3 linked regions of the Schizosaccharomyces pombe genome follow. The protein of the gene in region 2 binds, or shares a complex with, the protein of the main gene of each other region. Each region holds a gene or a part of one and is shown on either strand. Other genes may lie near its edges. A codon is read from its position in the direction of its gene.

Region 1 (3,768 bases), on a different chromosome or scaffold from region 2:
ACCAAAGGAGTCCTAAATCTATATTTCTACTAAACTTTAAGCATTAGATAAACATCCTAATTGTCTTGAAAATTTAGGACCAAATAGATGTTTCAAATAAGTATAGTGTTTTTGATCGATATACTTGATTCTTAAAAACGAGATAAATTTGTAACGCGCTTTCACGCGTAATTTGCAAATTTTATATTCAAGAATTGTGGTTATTTGTCATTTTAAATAATATTTTCTCATAGAAGACCTGTGCTAGTTCTCAGTCTTATACCAAGCTGGTTCTTATACATGTACAATTAAAAATACTAAAATGGTCAACGATTTTAATGAAAAAAATGGCATTAAGAAAAGACTTCTAGATTTCTTCCCAGTCGTTCTCGAAGGAATTCGTGAAATCTTAGAAAGCATGCAATACTTCCCCGAAGAAACCGAGAAGCTGTTATATGTAAGTTGATTATCTTGCCTTTATAACGCGACAGCTAACCTTCATTTAGTCCATAAAGAGAAATACGTTAGGAGGAAAGAATAATCGAGGACTGGCAGTTTTGCAATCTTTAACAAGCCTTATTAATCGAGAACTTGAAGAAGCAGAATTTCGCGACGCTGCTCTCCTAGGTTGGCTAATTGAAATTGTAAGTAAACTGGTTTTTTAATTCAGATTTGTTTACGTAAAATCACTGGGGTACTGACGGATGTTCAGTTGCAAGGTTGCTTTTTAATGGCAGATGATATTATGGATCAGTCTATCAAACGACGTGGTTTAGATTGTTGGTATTTGGTAGTTGGTGTACGAAGGGCAATTAATGAGTCACAATTACTAGAAGCATGTATTCCACTTTTAATTCGAAAGTATTTCAGAAATATGCCATACTATGTCGATTTATTGGATACTTTCCGAGAGGTATGTTACAATAAATTCAACTAAAAAGCTTACTTTCAAGGTTACTTTTCTCACCGAGTTGGGGCAACAAGAAGATTTGCTTTCATCACGAGACGGAGAAGCCTCGTTACGATCTTTTGATTTAATGAAATATGACTTTATTATCACTTATAAAACATCATTTTATTCCTTTTACCTTCCTATTAAATGTGCTTTATTGTTGTCTCGCAATTCGAATCAAAAGGCGTATGATACGACTATAAAGCTTTCAAAACTTCTTGGTTATTATTTCCAAGTCCAAGATGACTACTTAGATTGTTTCGGTGATTACACGGTTTTGGGTAAAGTGGGAATGGACATACAAGACAATAAATGCACATGGCTAGTTTGTTATGCTGAAAAATTTGCCTCTGCGGATCAGCTGAATCTTCTTCGTGCTCATTATGGAAAAGCAGGGTCTGAAAACATAGCTGTAATAAAGCAGCTTTATCATGAGCTTCAAATACCTGAATTATATCACAAATTTGAAGATGACATGGTGGATTCTATATCCAAAGAAATTGATTTGATTGATGAATCTACTGGATTGAAAAAGTGTATATTTACTAAGTTTTTTCAGCTCATTTACAAAAGGTCACGGTAGCAGTCATTTCATTTTAAATAACCGTTATTATCTTCTTCCTTATTTAAAATTTATTATTTGATGACCTTCCAAATTCTTTATGATACTGATCGACGATTTGTATTTAGGGTTATTCTTAAGGTTTCATATCATTATAGCATTTATGGTTTTTTTCATTATTGTTAAAGATCTGCATTCAGAATTTACTTTTTTAATGATTATCTGGTTGATACATTACTCTACTTGGGAAACTAAGCAAGATTTAGATTATGTAGATGTAAACATTTGGTGAGTAGTATAATAATAACATCAAATGACATTGACGATCGTTGTTAATTGGATTGGTTATGAAAGAATTATTATATTGCTCATTTGAGAAAATGCAAAAACTGTCACTGAAAAAAACATACAGCACATTTTAATAGACATTCCAAGGTTAGTCCTTTTTGTTATAACAGTATTTTACTTAAATTGAACAATTAATCGTTACTTATTTAAGATCTTGAAACACTAGTTCGTGGATGGGAGAAATATTCAATAGAACCAGGCTGCTGCTTCAGCTTCTGACCACTCCATCATAGCAACAATTCTACGCGAAAGCGCTCCGAACCTAACATTTTTAATTGATAACATAAGGAAACTGTTTGCCTTATTAAATAATTGGGAAAGAAAATCCTATTTGAAACTATGGGGTTCGGGAAGAAAAAGGTTTCTTATTTCTATGATGGTACGTGTAAACTAGTAAGATCCTAGCTAATTTTTGAAATAGAGGATGTTGGAAATTATCACTATGGTCCTCAGCATCCAATGAAGCCTCATCGCGTTCGCATGGTATGATATAAAGCTATAACTATTTATCATCATTAACCTACTTAGGTTCATAATCTGGTCGTTAATTACAACTTGTATGAGAAGTTGAACGTTATTGTAAGTTCTATTTCTCCTTTTTATACTAATAAAGTATACAAGACACCTGTTAGAGCAACAAGGAATGACATGACTCGTTGTCATACCGATGAGTATATTGAATTTCTTTGGAGAGTTACACCTGACACGATGGAAAAATTTCAACCGCATCAGCTGAAATGTAAGATTTCATTTCGATTATTTATAAATAACCGTGATTTTAGTTAACGTCGGTGATGATTGTCCTGTTTTTGAGTATGTGCGTTTATCAAATTTTTTATACTAACAATTGTTTAGTGGGCTGTACGAATTTTGTTCAATTTCTGCTGGCGGTTCAATTGGTAAGATAAAAGTTTTTCCCAAAAAAGGGGCTTTGAAGCATCCGCTGAATTTGTGAATGGAGTATAGGACTTTAACTAACATTGGTTTAGGTGCTGCTCAAGAACTTAACTCGGGAAACGCAGAAATTGCTATTAAGTATGTTATTGAGGATTTTTTAGTACTTTGAAGATCAACTAACCACTTAATTAAGTTGGGCTGGAGGCCTACATCACGCTAAAAAACGTGAAGCTTCTGGTTTCTGCTATGTTAATGATATCGCGTTGGCTGCTTTAGAATTGCTGAAATATCATCAACGTGTTCTTTACATTGATATTGATGTTCACCACGGAGACGGTGTAGAAGAATTTTTCTACACTACGGATCGCGTTATGACTTGTTCATTCCACAAATTCGGTGAATATTTTCCAGGAACCGGTCATATCAAGGTATGCATGCGGCTTTATATTTGGATTTACTTTTCTAATATTTTAGGACACCGGAATTGGAACAGGAAAAAACTATGCTGTTAACGTTCCTTTGAGAGATGGTATTGACGATGAATCTTATGAAAGCGTATTTAAGCCTGTAAGTCTTTTTTATAAATTTCTTTGTTCTAACAATCTGAATTAGGTTATAAGTCACATAATGCAATGGTTTCGACCGGAAGCTGTTATTTTACAATGTGGAACAGATTCTCTCGCTGGTGATCGACTAGGCTGCTTCAATCTGTCAATGAAGGGTAAGTAACTACTGTTTCTCGTTTTTACTAATTCCCCTCAACAGGACATTCAATGTGCGTTGATTTTGTTAAGAGCTTTAATTTGCCAATGATATGCGTTGGAGGAGGTGGATATACTGTACGGAATGTTGCCCGTGTCTGGACTTATGAAACTGGTCTTTTAGCCGGCGAAGAGCTTGATGAAAGTAAGTACCAATACGTAAATTGTTTATTAACCCATCCAAGACCTTCCTTATAATGACTATTTACAATATTACGGTCCCGATTACAAGCTCAATGTTCTTTCAAACAATATGGAAAACCATAACA
Region 2 (6,762 bases):
GGTTGCCATTGTTATTACAGTCTCGATGATTTTTTTAGGTAATATAAAAAAATTTGCTCTACTTTATGTCTTTAAAAAGCGCTTAGTGCTTGTGACTTATTCTAAAATTTGAAATATCATAACAAGTCACTCTTTCGATAAAAAATCCGTATTATCTTTAAAATGTTCCTTTTATTTCAGATGGCCAGTCCTTGAACGTTGATTAAATGCACAGTTTTGTATTTTAAACGATGTCTCAAACATGAAAGTCCTTTGGTGATGGTTTTCCAAAGGTATGTGTCAAGGTAAGGTGTTTGGTAAAAAACAAAAGTTGCAGCCACAACTTTTTATTATTTTTAACCCACTCCAGTCACGTGCCCTAAGATGAGTAAAATTGTCATTTTAACGCCATGACGTTAAAAATCGTTATTCGTCTTTAAAAAAAATCCATATTTTGTAAACACAGCATTCGCATAGAGCTTCATTGTATACCAAACTGTTAGACCTCAATTTTCCCTCTCTTTAAATTCGAGATTTCTGATAAATTTACTTGTTTGATGTCTCATTTCTGTTCCAAGGATTTCGTTTCCTAATAGACCGATTGGAAAAATGTGTAAACATTTCAAGTTTTTAGCAAAAAATCTACTAAAAGTGTCGGGTAGCAAAGAAACATAAATTAAAAGAAGCTTCGTAAAACAATTTTCGAAATCGCGAGTTAGTAATGTGGCGATCTTAAGGTCAAGATAGGTATTTACTATCCCGTGTTACGAAACTTTGGTTCAATATACTCTAGGGAGAAATATCTAAAAATGTCTTTTTCAGCTTCCACGGGATCCTTCCACTCATTAAATTCGTCGGGACATATGTCTTTTCCTGTTTTAAGATTTATGATTTCGAACGAATCATAGCTTAGACCCAAATGAGAGTTAGCATAAAGCTTCAAATCGCGAAGAAAAAATATTCCTCCACTCCATCCTAATACGGCAGAGCCTATGTATGCAGGCGGCACTACTATAATATCAACACGCCTATTGATTTTAGAAGAATTTGACAAAATGACTGCTAGCATTACATAACCTTTCTTTCCTCCGCAAGAATGTTCCTGAACAGAAATTAGTCGGAATTGAAATTCCTCGTCTAAAATTCTTAAGAGAACATCCACCAGATGTTTTGTAGAATGAGTATGTGATGGACTCAACACCATATCAACGTCCGCTCCAACAGGCTTTCCCCGACGAAATCCACCTACTAGACAAGACTGAATTTTAATTCCATCCGGCATCCGTGAGACAATAGTTTCATAAATCTCCGTGGCTTCCTCAATGGTTACAGTTTTACAAAAATCTTCATAAAACTCCAGACCAACTTTTATTTGTTTGGTAAATGAATCTTTGTGCTTCCTAACTTGTTCAATCGTACGCCAACCCTTTTGGTACCATTCAGCAGCATGAGAAGCACCAACTCCGAAAATATTGTAAAATAAAAGCAAAATTTTTGAAGCCGGATCCTTCTGAAATTCCTCAGCTTCTTTTAAGGTTCCCGTTGATGCAAACTCTTTCCAAAGATGTACTATTTTGGGCCCACAACCGGGCATTTTCTCTAATTGTTCTGCGCTATCGATAGGCAAGGGAAAAGCTTTAATGGTTGCAATCGCCATTCCGTATGCCCTAGTCCTTACTGATTCACCGTTTACTTCTCTGCATGTTTTCAAGACACTTAAAGCATTCACAAAGGCTTGATTGACACATTTAAGCGGTGTCTTTCTCTGGCACGCATACCGTGGAATTTCAAGAACGTAAGGGTATTCTTTCGTAGTCGGATAAACTGATCCTTCTTGATCAACATTGTCAATGCTTTTAACTTCGTTATTATTTTCTGTGTTTGGAGTTTCGTGGTTTTCAAAATCGTTTGGTGCTTCAGTGTGCGAAGCAGGTCTTGTTGAAGGTGTGTACGGCGAGCCAACTTTCATCTCTGGTTTTCGATGCCATATCACATATGGATTCCCGGGCGTTAAAGATTCTTTAGGCTCGTTAAGCCAGTCAATTTTAACAATCAACTTACACGATACACACGTCTCTAACGGTGTTCCAATTGTTCTTAGCTCTCGCCGAACTCTGTTAATTTGACTGTAATTGACAAAAATGTAATCCGCTTTTGCTGCATCGTTTGTGAATTCTCCTCCAAAATTTACAATTTTTGATCGCGCATCTTCATATTGTGAATTGGACAAGCGATTATGTAGTACATAATTTGTACTGCTTGCAAGAATCTTCATTTTGAACAATTACAACTAAGGGAACAAAAAACGTATTGCCTATTAATTGACCTTGTAATAAATTTCGAGGTTACCCAATTCTTAGAACAAACTAATATGGAAAATAAAAACAAGCTAAAGGCACAATAAAGCATCTACTAAGTTACAAAGCAATGATAGACATGATGATGAAACCGACATGTTTTAAGGTAATTTTATTTTAGAGCAATGCAACTTTTCCTTATGTGCTAATAATGACACATTAAAAGGAATAAAAAAAATGTTAATAATACGTAAGCAAACTACTTTTGAAATTACACTATCATACAGTTTCTTTATTATTTCTGTGCTATTGTTTAAGTACTATTGCAAATCGCTTTGCATTCTATCCAGTTTATCGCAATCATTTGCTTGTAATTCAACTTATCCCAAAGAATTCTTTAGTTGTATCAACAGTTCTACGGTGAAACTAATAATTCAATATACAAAAATACTACACGTTAAAGCATTCAAATAAGAATAATTAAACGTGATAAAATTTGGCTTATTTCTGTACTCCATTTTGTAACGTAACTTTTCTTAATTTTGCAGTTCAACTATAAGTTAAAGTATTTGTTGCACAGCATAATTGCATATACAACTTAATTAAATTTACAATTAAGGAAAAATGCCTGCACCTTTCCCAAGGAGACTTTTTGAATACCACACTTCGATCACAATTCACTAATTGGAAGCACCTTCGCAATACCAAAAATAAAGAAAAAAAATAAAACCATTCATATATGAAATCGTATCATTCATGGTTAGATAGGCATAAATATTAAGACATTTCAACGTCGAAGACACCGCACTTGAAAGAATCGAGGTGCTATGCTATCTTTCAATAGCTTAATAAGTTAGCCAAATCAAAAGGTGCAGGAACGGGTTGATTAGGATCCCATTTAGAAATTCTCAAAAGATCCCTTAAAGCCAAAACATAATCATCATTTTCTAAGTTGTCATTGGCAACATCGCAAAGGATTCGCAAAGGCAATTCACAATCACGGGTTGCATAAAAGTCAAATTTGGAAAAGGTTTCAATACATAGTTGTTCATCCTGCTCAACCATTTTACGTAAATTAATAACGTTATCACGTATTTGTTCTAAAAAGTTCAACTTAAACGGTTTACTAGGTACCACACGTATTTTTCCCTGTAGTTGTATTGTTTGCACAGATGGTTCATCCTCATTTTCATCAATAACTATATTTCCTTTATTTTTGAAACCACGAGGTAAACCGACACGAATAACCTTTGCTTTTTCAGGTAACCTATACCGAGGCGTGACATGATCGCTATGGTTAGGACATTTCCACTTCCGGAGATTCGAAGGCAAAGTTGCGAGTGGAGGATTTAAACAATCGGGATGCCAGTAGGAGTTACAATAATCGCAAGCTAGTATACTCTGAGAGACCAGAGCCGATTTATGACAACGAAAACATAAAATGGGAGTACCACTTTTACTCTTCAAAAGCAAAGGATCACGTTCTTCTCCATTGCTTCTTCGGCTAGATTTAAGATGCTTCAAAACATCCGTCTCGATATATTCACCCATCACTCCACTTCCGACACCTCTAAAAAAGCTGCTAATTGAATGAGGAAGATGAAACTGAATAGGATTGTGAGAATCAATATATGTACAAAGTTGCATCCACACATCAACCATCGTTCCTTCTTCTTTGACATTACTTTCCAATTCTTCTTGCTCATCCAATTCATTGTACAAGCTATGGTGTTTACATTCATTGCAATACCAAGCGTCATCTGGTAAATTTTTTTCTTCGATAGGCGGATCTATACAAGTAAAATGAAAACTATTCGGGCATGTTTCACAACACAAAAAATTGCCTGGACCATGACATGCGGAGCAGTAATCATTGTTATATCTGTATGGATATTCTTCAGGGGTAGGAAGTAATTCATTGCTACTAATGTCTTCGGCCCGGCCCTCCATGTCGTTAAAATTCTCTGATTCATTACCTAAATGTTTTTGGTTGGAATACACGGTAACATTTCGTGTAACATTATTCTCCGTTACGACCTCAGAGGTAGGAACAGGAATGTTAGCCTTGAAAGTTAGCTTCCCAGAAAAAAGAGGTTTGGAAGAGTTATTCGCTTTCTTCATCGATGAACTAGAGATATCAGATAAGTCTTTAGCCGTTGTTTTTAGAGACTTATTCTCTTTAAGGAGATTATTATTATTTCCTTTCTGGGGGTTGATTTTTCGTGATCTCTCTTGATCGGGTACTATAGGACGAAAGTCATCATCCAATGTATTCCAAGCCACAAATCCATCCTTAGTATCATAGGTTCTCCTAACTTTTCTTCTTAACTTAGTAATACTAGGTCCGTTGTTAGATGTATCATGATCACCTTTTTCTGCACCTTCACCATTCACATGCTTTCTCTTAACAGAAGGAGAATAATCTAAATCATCCTTGCTTCCATCGTCAGAGTTATCAACTGAGGCTCTACCATTAGAGTTGCCGTTTTGGGCCCTATTTCTTCTCGAGGTCGCTTTATTCGGTGAAGCGCTCCTGGAATTTATTGACCCATGCGAACTCTTTGCATTCCTTTCAGCACCGGCTTTTTGAATAATTTTAAGATCTTCCAAAATAGAAGCTTGAAAGGCTTCTGATGTATGATTCCATGGTTTTGCATCCATTGATGAAAACGTGGACGTCGTGTAGTGTGAACATACAATGAAGATTTATGCTAGCAAAGATGAATTTAACGAGAAACAAGGAAAGACTGCTATAAACCGAAAAGAAAGATTTGTTAGTTATTTTGTTTAAATATCAAAAATATTATAATTTCCAAAAACTGAAATGAAGGCTGTAAAGTAATTTGATTCATCGGTTACCCGTACATACTTTAAATTTAGCCACATGACTGAACATTAAGGATTAATAAGCCTTTGAATAATATACAGTGTATTTCCTCAAATTTAATAAATTAATCGTATTGAGGATAGAGTGCCTCATTTGTAACAGAAGCTATCAACTGAAAGAAACTGGTCCGTCGAGCTATCCATAACGTGAGTCAAATCTTGATTATGGTCTTTGATAAAGATTCTTCCAAAATTGTATTAAGTATTTCTATCCAAAACCGTATTCATTCTCACCTCCTTTTTTTGTTGATGCGAGCTTGACAACAAGTGGATATGGAAATTGCCAAACGTGAATCCTGGGCCGGCTGTAAAATACTCATTAATGCAATCATGACAACATATTCTCACAGTCATCCTTTCAGCAGGATTTAAAGCAGGTTTTACGATAACATTAAATCGATCATTCGGAAATTTTGCAAATGTCTCTATAACACATCGTTTAACCCAGGAAGGGGTAAAATCAGGTAAATTTAACTTTTGCATATGAACCAAAGCGGATTCAGAAGAATTGCTGTTAGTAAGAAACGCGTCAGAAGAAAGGCTAGGAGACGAAAATTGTGGTAATGGCGAAATATTTTGCCCATATGTAGAAGGTGTGTTCCTTTCACTTTCAAATTCGTTTAGTGAGTCAAAACTCATGGAATTGGGCAAGGGAGTGAGTTTCCGTTGTTGGAAGTTATTGAGGGTTAAGGTTTGTGATTGTTCAACGATTATTTTTAGTTTCTGAGAGTCAACTTTTAGACGCACAATTAAATGTTCTCTTTCAGGATTATTAGTATTAATTTCGTTAAGTGTCTCGCCATCAGAATTTGTAGATAAACTTAAAGCATGCATAAAGTCATCATCCGAGGGGACCGATGAACTGGGGAAGAGACTTCGATGTATTTTAGGAATGTCCCGAAGATCTGGTAACATAATCCCGTGTTTTGCCCTTCCTTGTCTACGCCGCATACGACGTGCTTCCCTATCATAACCTCTATCCTGCCGTTCCATTTCAGCATCGTTTAGCTCGTAAATCATTGGGGCAAAGGAGGAGGATTCCATGTCAGAGAACCGTAGTGTGTTTTTAAGAGGAGGTAAAATGTAAGAGCGAACTTCCTCGTCTTCGATTTCACTTCCGTCAAACAAATATCCTATAAGGCTTAAATATTTTATGTACATTTGGCACTGCTCACGAATTGAGTGAGCTACAGCTGTACAAAATTCTCCTGACAATCCTAGATCTAAGCACATCACAGTAGCAAATTCCTCAGCGCTGCTTTCAGGAGCAAACAAATTCCATTCAAATTGGTCAATAAGATTCAGCCGACCAATGGTAATATCAAGCTTGATCAATATCCTCAAATCGTTTTGTACAGTTGGAATTTGTTGCTTGGAAGCTTTAGCCAACGAATCTGACGGTTCGTGCGCATAAACAGTCTCTGAGGTAGACGAACTAACATCTGAAACAAAACTTAAATTAGACTGAGCCTTACGCGGCTCATAGTCATTTATTTGAGCTTGAATACTCTTTGAAATATTTTGAACAATATGTACATTATGCAGTGGAATATCATAATCAATGCAGATCTGTTCAGCAAATTGATCTAATGAAATACAC
Region 3 (6,860 bases), 1.6 Mb from region 2:
TAAGGCGCAGGTAAGATGCATCTATGTAAGAATCTTCTGTGCGTGGTAAGTAGAGCAATTTAAACGAGTCTAAACATAATTTTGCTTGCAATCCGGAAACCAATTCTGCAGATCTTAATAACTTTGTTTGAAGGCGTGAAACCAATTGCTCAACTGTTCTTTCTTTCTCTATATTTCTGCAAAGAAAGGGACAACGATAATTTTTATAAGATATTTCTTCAGTAAGTTTTTGTATACGATAATTTTGAACATATTTTTTCCAAACTCGTCTCTGTGTATCCAAACTTTGATCCACAATAAGATTCGCTCGCTTCATTATTTTGATTCCAAATGATTTAAATTTGTTTATCCAACAAAATCGAAACAAAATTTCATCAGGATTCAAAAGCTTTTCAATTTCCAAGCGATAAAGAAAGTCATCATAATTCTTCTTAGGCGAAGCAGAACTATTTTGTTCGACTAAACTAGTAACGAATTTGTATTTTCCATCGGAAACGATGTGGTGGACTTGTTTAGCAGCAGACCAAACGAGTTTATCAATAGTATATATTTTATAGGCTTTATTGCCATAATAAAACCGCAGATAGTCCTCGAAGGCACTTTGATCAACTATCCCATATATTAATCGAAGAATCATCACATAAGTATTTTCGTAATGAGTTTTTTCATCAGGGACATCTGAAAGATCATTCCACCTATCGCGCCAAATCTTTTGTTTTTGAGATACTGGGTTTGGTATTATACGCTGTTGGATAATGGACACTTGATCCTCCAAACGCTGAAGCTCATAAAGCCTTTCGTATAATAAGTTAAAAAGTCTAAAAAATACGTACATAGAAGAATATCCAAACTGTTCTTTATCGACGTCGTCATGCATTTCATTCTCCGTATCACCAGCATGATCTTGATGTTCCAAAAGACTATCTGGATGACTTGGATATTTGAGACTGGCTTTAATGGCTGCAGCAGGTTGTGAAAGCTGTTTCTTAGAAACCGGCGTTACGTTTCCAGATTCATCACTTAAAGAGTTTTGAGAGTTAGATTGTGATTTGTTACCGGATTCTTCTTTTTTGCGAGCAGCTGCAGCTGAACGACTTTCGCGTTGACCATTGATTTTAGGTTGTTTTACAAATTCCGTCAACTGGGTTATAGAATTAGATCTTTTCCGACGTACAGGCTTGTTACCAACTATATTCGGGGCATTCACATCGTAATCAGGACCACGAAAAACTTGATCCAGGAATATCGAAAATTTATCCTTTTCAAGACCAAAATGTAAAGGCAATATATTCTTGAAAAAATGCTCAACTTTCTTTAAACCAGAGGGAGAGTTACATACAATGTATGTGCATACCATATAACAAGTATCAAAAAGTACTATTTCGTTGTCATATACAAAAGAAAATTCGAAAGCTGATCTACTTCGCAAAGGAAAATGGAGCTTCGCTTGCGATCGTAGAATGTCGGCTTCTGCTAAGAGAAACTTTGAAGATACATTCTTCTTATCTCTTGCCTTAAAATAAACGCATTGTGAATCTAAGCTCTTATCGTAATTTTTAAACTCAATACTTCGCCATCCAGGTTGAAGACTTCTTTTAACAGACTTCCACTCTTCGTTTTTTTCTTCTAATCTGCTGATTACCAATGGTAATGTGAGGCAAGGCATTCTTTCCAAGGCCTTAAACATTTCCTCTGCATGCTCACTGGTATAAACAAGCTTAATAGTTTTCTTGTATATACTTTTTGATGGTAAACCTAGCCCTTCCTCGAGAGTATATGTTTCTCTTTCCTCTTCCGGCAATTCATTTATACGGTTCTGAATTTTTTTAAGAGACTTGATTGTCCAGGAAGTAGCTTCAATATGCCGATCAAATTCATAACGTTCCTCTTCCAACTTTGTCATTGCCTCTTCATAAGGCGTTTTCCTCTGAACAATGAAACCGCTTTCTTCAGATGCCCAAGTTGGATGACTGACCCAGTCATCATTAAGTATACCCCATGCAAAATCATCTCTACCGCTGCAAGAAATATTGCGTTCTTCGACAGGAAGCAATCGGTAACTCGGGCCACATTCCGGGAAGTCTGAGCAAGCGGAATTGTATACAGATAAAAACTCTTCCGGACTCAAACTAGTAAGGCTTAAAAAGCTTCTCCAAAGTCCCGAATTCGATTTAAGAAACCCAAACCCACGACTCACCAGAATATTTCTATCAATTATCCCTTGAACGTACAAATTCAGGAGTTTTAAAAATTCGTGGTAAGTTTCTACATCGGTAAGTACATTTTTCACATTTTTGAAAAAGTCACTGCTCTCATTTGATAAATGTGAAAATGGTGAGAGGTTGTCCGGCCTTGATTGACTAAGCAAATCAGAAATATTACTCAACGTAAATTGGGAACTCTGAATTCCTCTTAATGGAAACGATCCTAGAGGAGGTTTACTCCCAAAAAAGATGGAGCTTGGTAAAAAGTTGTGAAACTCGTGGGCTAAAGATGGATGCTCCGCTAGCAAAGACGTTACAATAGTCTGAAGCTCAGAAAGCGAACACTCAGAGTTTTTAAACTTACGAAGACTATCCTGTAATTTAAAGAACTGTTCGGGATTGCTCAATAATGCTCGTCGAACTCGTGAAACAAATCCTATAGCTCTATGATAGGTACAAGGTAAGTCGTTGTAAGTAGCTACATAAGTAGACGGTGTAGAAACTGGACCAGATGGGGTGGTAAATTGCAATGTGAAGTTGGCACCGCTATTCGATAAAAGGTATTTATAAGACGAGGGCAAAAAGATGTTCAAATATTCTAAAAGATCTGGGTAATCTCTTAAGATTACAGATATTCTTTCAATAAACCCGGGAAAATCGACACTAATGTTCATGTTAATAAGTGAATAGTAATAAAAAAAGAGCTATCTCAAAGCAACTCAGTAAATAAGCCATATATACATTTCATTGTGTAAAGCCTTCACAACATCCATGAAAGCGCTATAAACATAAGGACGATGACACAGTCTTTGACCCAACTTTTGAACGAATGCCTTTATATCAAGCTCGGGGAGTGCGGTACCATTAGGGGAAAAATCATGGACTAATTGATTCTGCATCTCGGCCACTAACGTTGAGTTGTCTAACAACATTGGTTAAAATGAGTTATGTATTAAATTGATACGTACCATTTTTTAATATCGCTAGTGTTTGTTCCATGTATTTTGATCTTTAACCATCAAATGACTAGGAATACGATCTCGTTTATTTTGGAGGTGATGATTTGGGAAACGGCAAATGCAACTAAGCGCACAAACTCGTCAACGCATTACATGAACTGACGCTGATAGCCAAAGTTCAAATGATTTATCAAGACATGAACACAAATACCACATTGGATGGTGTTTTACACTTACAACGAATACTTTAGAAAAAATACTAACGAGAAGAATCAAACCCAATATAATTGTTAAAAAATATTCCTTTTAAATAATTAAACACTACATCTAAACATTATTTTCTAAGAATAATAGAGATTTAATAAAACCGAAACTATGCATCGTCTTCATCAAGAATAAGAAATCGAAAACTATCTACTTTCAAAGTTAAGTTGTCGACTACTTTACTTAAGTGCATTCGCAAAACAAACAACCAAGATGGTGAAATAAAGTTTTTAAATACGAACAGGAATGGCAGAAGAAATTACGCTTTAAAAATGAAACAAAGTAAACATTCAATATAAAATTTTACCTCAAGAATAAATCAAAAGATGTGACACAATAGATTAACCACGTTAAATTTATAATGTTCGCAAACTAAGACGAGGAACCTTGGTCACATAAAAGCGGATGATTGGCGAATTCTGGTTGAATGGTAACATCATATATACCAAAAGATTGAAGGACATTACGGATATCCGTAGTAAGCTTTGTATAAGACTCTCCCTTATCATCAGGAAGTGTAACGCAGACATGAACAGTGGCAATTAATTTAACGTCCGAAAGCTGCCAGATGTGGAGTTCATGAACAGATTCCACGCCGTCTAGATGATTAATTAGGTTGGAAACATCATCCAGTTTGATGCTTTGAGGAGCAACTTGTAATAAGATGAGAGCAGCGGATTTACAGAGAGGAATTGCGCTAAAAAGAATAATGAAAGTAAGAAGGATACTAATGCATGGGTCAAAGAGGAAACGCCAAGAATAGTCAGTATACTTGATGAATAAAGCAGCACTAATAACACCAATATTACCGAGAGCATCACCCAAGACATGAAGAAAGACACCATGCATATTCAAATTTCGTTTCTTCGTTTGTTTTGGTGCATCTTGTTCAATACTGCCATGGTTGTTGACTGGCTTTGAAGTACCAGCACCATTATGATTACCAGTGTAACTCAATAAAGGAGAAGATTCGGTAGCAGAGTCTGCGACTTGAGTGTGTGTATGGCTGACTTCTTGTTGACTGGTATTACAACGATGAACGATAGTCGAAGGTAAAACGGATTCAATATCATCTTCTTCAGGAAAATCGTAATTTTGAGCGGTATGGGTGTGAGGATGATCATGACCATGGTCATGAAATAAAAAGATACCAACGAAATTGCTTAGCAGACCTAAAGAACCAACAAAGAACATAAGGGTGGGATTGCTGACAGAAGGAGGCTCAATGAAGCGCTCTATGGCTTCCATAAAAATGAACATGCAAAGGGCAATGAGAAATACACCGTTCGACAAAGCACCTAAAATCTCTGCACGTTGCCAGCCATATGTGTATTTTGGTTCGTGAGATGTTGAATGTGCTAGACGAGTAGCCCAGAGAGCGACCAGTAAACTGACAATGTCATTTAACATATGAAATGAATCAGCAATTAGGGCAAGTGAATCGATCGCATAACCAGTAATAATTTCGATGAAGAAAAAAGTAACATCAATACCTAATAAAAGGATAATCCGAGTTTGTCTTGCGAGGTCGAACATAGTTTGAAAACGAAAAGTCACCAATTTCAAAAAAATGGTAAGGGTTGAATTTCACAGGGAGAAAAAGGAATAAGGTAAATTTAGAATGAAAGGTGGCTTTTTAAAAATGAATTTAAATAAAAGAGGCGCAAACTTGCTATATTTAACAAAAAAAAAAGCCAAAATAAGACGAAGATGCGAGAGGGTTTAAGAAAATCTAAAGAATCAAATATCTGTAATTTTGCTTTCCTTGTTTTTACAGAATAAATTAATTAAACCAATAAACCTTCAAAAAACTGCCAAAACTGCCGTTTTTGATAGTAAATTAAAAAGGAGGCTTTTGAGAAGTAAGCGGTGAAGAAAAAATAAAATCACACGTTGACTACTATTAGTCTGCTTTAACAAAGTTTTGTAAGTGACTGGCCACTAATCGCGTTTACCACAAAAGGAACTAACAAAGACTACCTTTTGAAATTTTCTTTCAATTCGGTGTTAAGAATAAACGCACAAATTAGTCAAAATAGTTAGAAGATCAAATTTTGCGATCGAAAATATTTATCTGATAATAATTGATATCGTAAAAGTGACTATTATTATTCGTAATCAGATACAACGAATTACAGAGTATCGCAGTAATAAACGAGTTAATTATAAGCAATATGCACACATATTTGGATCGTCCTTTCTATGATTTTTTGGGTAATGAGTGAGCGACAAGATCGTACTTGGTAATTTGATTGATATTTCGTCGAATAGGTTCTACCGCTTTACCAAAAGTAATTAGTTAATAAAGCTAATACTTGGTATCAATTTTTGGGTAAACTTCTATAGGTAAAAAAAAAATGATTTACGTTGATTAAATGTGCCACGTTCCACTTTTAAAAGCCGAAAACGTTTGAAATTGCATATTTATATTATTTTTAATAGCTCAATATTCCATTCATACGCTTGCTTTATGCAACGCCAATCATTGTTTATTGAAAGATACCATCATTTCTTGTAGCTCACAGAAACTTGGCCGAACGGCTGTTTAGAAGTAAATAAATAAGGAATTGAAAATGATCCTAGATGTTTCAACTATTTTTAGCTATTACTGGGTTTGCTTAATAATTTGATTAAACGCCATAAAATATATTAAAAAGGTCTTTCTATTTGTTGTTTATAGCAGTGGTTTGTTCTCAAAACTTACAATGTTTTATGATCTTCGTTCATAAACGAGCATTCTCTCTCCCCAGATTTCGCTAGTAATAAGCTAAATATATCAAGTAATTTTAATATTATGAGTGAATGCATACAAAAAAGAAATGCTTCGAAAATAAAACTCTTTCTAAAAGGAAAATCTAGTGATGTTGAAGAGCTTTTCATAATTATACTGTCAACATAGCAGCATTGTTAATGTTTTGAATGAAAGCCTGATGTCAGAGGGTTTTCTTTTAAAAAAATTTTTATATATATATATATATATATACATGATTATTAATAAAACAAAAAGAATAAGAACATTCTCAATCATCCTGTTCATTATATTTCCTTCTTTTCATTCTCAAATGACAAATAAATAGTTCATTTATCAATAACTCATGGTCTCCACCATATCTAAAAATCACCAGTTAGTGTAAGATTGAAGTAAGCATGTGTCTCGATATTTACTACGTATGCTGCGTTATCTACTTTTTGGCTGGTTACAAGTGATTAGATATTTACAAATTCGCTGCACTATCTACTTGTACAATCCCCCTTGTACCGTTTTTTAGGTAATGCGTCTAATCCTTCCCAGAACTACGAGGCTTCGGATGAGACACCTATGTGATGACTGACTGCATCGGTTCTTCAAACGGCACTGAATAATCCAAAACCTTTCTTGTTACGAGTACATTTGAGTAATGTACCGCAGTTAATTGCCCAGGCAAAAATTGAG

The links.
Region 1: the proteins of cph2 (region 2) and clr6 are in contact, whole or in part, in a cryo-EM structure (PDB 8I02), measured with the Schizosaccharomyces pombe proteins. Residues at the interface, in NP_592978.1 of Schizosaccharomyces pombe: Ser419 (codon at 3,683), Gln420 (codon at 3,680), Pro434 (codon at 3,638), Asp435 (codon at 3,635), Asn438 (codon at 3,626), Pro440 (codon at 3,620), Leu441 (codon at 3,617), Ala442 (codon at 3,614), Thr443 (codon at 3,611), Arg581 (codon at 3,197), Asp582 (codon at 3,194), Leu583 (codon at 3,191), Arg585 (codon at 3,185), Ile586 (codon at 3,182), Ser587 (codon at 3,179), Lys588 (codon at 3,176), Leu604, Leu605; in NP_595333.1 of Schizosaccharomyces pombe: Arg166 (codon at 3,035), Asp188 (codon at 3,101), Phe198 (codon at 3,131), Gly199 (codon at 3,134), Lys209 (codon at 3,164), Arg226 (codon at 3,261), Gln247 (codon at 3,369), Trp248 (codon at 3,372), Phe249 (codon at 3,375), Arg250 (codon at 3,378), Asn349 (codon at 3,759), His350 (codon at 3,762), Thr352 (codon at 3,768), Gln354, Tyr355, Ser358, Ile359, Glu362, Leu370, Ser371, Ala373, Pro374.
Region 3: the proteins of cph2 (region 2) and pst2 are in contact, whole or in part, in a cryo-EM structure (PDB 8IFG), measured with the Schizosaccharomyces pombe proteins. Residues at the interface, in NP_592978.1 of Schizosaccharomyces pombe: Leu397 (codon at 3,749), Leu399 (codon at 3,743), Lys400 (codon at 3,740), Pro406 (codon at 3,722), Ile407 (codon at 3,719), Leu408 (codon at 3,716), Phe410 (codon at 3,710), Arg411 (codon at 3,707), Cys412 (codon at 3,704), His413 (codon at 3,701), Lys414 (codon at 3,698), Ser415 (codon at 3,695), Leu417 (codon at 3,689), Val418 (codon at 3,686), Ser419 (codon at 3,683), His433 (codon at 3,641), Asp435 (codon at 3,635), Cys436 (codon at 3,632), Asn438 (codon at 3,626), Pro439 (codon at 3,623), Pro454 (codon at 3,578), Asn455 (codon at 3,575), His456 (codon at 3,572), Ser457 (codon at 3,569), His459 (codon at 3,563), Val460 (codon at 3,560), Thr461 (codon at 3,557), Pro462 (codon at 3,554), Phe481 (codon at 3,497), Lys482 (codon at 3,494); in NP_593646.1 of Schizosaccharomyces pombe: Glu36 (codon at 3,052), Ile39 (codon at 3,043), Lys40 (codon at 3,040), Val43 (codon at 3,031), Gln44 (codon at 3,028), Gly47 (codon at 3,019), Gln48 (codon at 3,016), Tyr55 (codon at 2,995), Tyr57 (codon at 2,989), Phe60 (codon at 2,980), Met61 (codon at 2,977), Val64 (codon at 2,968), Lys65 (codon at 2,965), Leu67 (codon at 2,959), His68 (codon at 2,956), Glu70 (codon at 2,950), Asp73 (codon at 2,863), Phe74 (codon at 2,860), Pro75 (codon at 2,857), Phe77 (codon at 2,851), Asn96 (codon at 2,794), Ile97 (codon at 2,791), Phe98 (codon at 2,788), Leu99 (codon at 2,785), Leu138 (codon at 2,668), Pro139 (codon at 2,665), Thr141 (codon at 2,659), Tyr142 (codon at 2,656), His143 (codon at 2,653), Ala145 (codon at 2,647).

The regions. Positions count from the first base shown.
Region 1 is NC_003423.3:849,771-853,538, reverse strand, and holds the start of clr6 (class 1 histone deacetylase Clr6), read left to right. Parts: upstream 1-2,062; 5' UTR 2,063-2,180; coding exon 2,181-2,220; exon of another isoform or gene 2,221-2,262; coding exon 2,263-2,324; exon of another isoform or gene 2,325-2,369; coding exon 2,370-2,420; exon of another isoform or gene 2,421-2,462; coding exon 2,463-2,580; exon of another isoform or gene 2,581-2,623; coding exon 2,624-2,654; exon of another isoform or gene 2,655-2,696; coding exon 2,697-2,740; exon of another isoform or gene 2,741-2,830; coding exon 2,831-2,876; exon of another isoform or gene 2,877-2,931; coding exon 2,932-3,166; exon of another isoform or gene 3,167-3,212; coding exon 3,213-3,305; exon of another isoform or gene 3,306-3,350; coding exon 3,351-3,459; exon of another isoform or gene 3,460-3,503; coding exon 3,504-3,644; exon of another isoform or gene 3,645-3,684; coding exon 3,685-3,768. Other genes in the region: spo9 (ER farnesyl pyrophosphate synthetase Erg20), read left to right, coding at 302-436, 486-623, 692-892, 933-1,514. UniProt on the Schizosaccharomyces pombe protein: Responsible for the deacetylation of lysine residues on the N-terminal part of the core histones (H2A, H2B, H3 and H4).
Region 2 is NC_003424.3:541,304-548,065, forward strand, and holds cph2 (Clr6 histone deacetylase-associated PHD protein-2 Cph2), read right to left. Parts: upstream 4,957-6,762; 5' UTR 4,938-4,956; coding exon 3,114-4,937; 3' UTR 2,824-3,113; downstream 1-2,823. Other genes in the region: translation initiation factor Tif5, read right to left, coding at 1-9; pol4 (DNA polymerase X family), read right to left, coding at 734-2,254; SWI/SNF complex subunit Snf5, read right to left, coding at 5,361-6,762.
Region 3 is NC_003424.3:2,156,915-2,163,774, reverse strand, and holds the start of pst2 (Clr6 histone deacetylase complex subunit Pst2), read right to left. Parts: upstream 3,290-6,860; 5' UTR 3,204-3,289; coding exon 3,173-3,203; exon of another isoform or gene 3,127-3,172; coding exon 2,946-3,126; exon of another isoform or gene 2,868-2,945; coding exon 1-2,867. Other genes in the region: ER zinc importer, CDF family, Zhf1, read right to left, coding at 3,800-4,963. UniProt on the Schizosaccharomyces pombe protein: Has a role in chromatin assembly and chromosome segregation. Involved in the deacetylation of histones.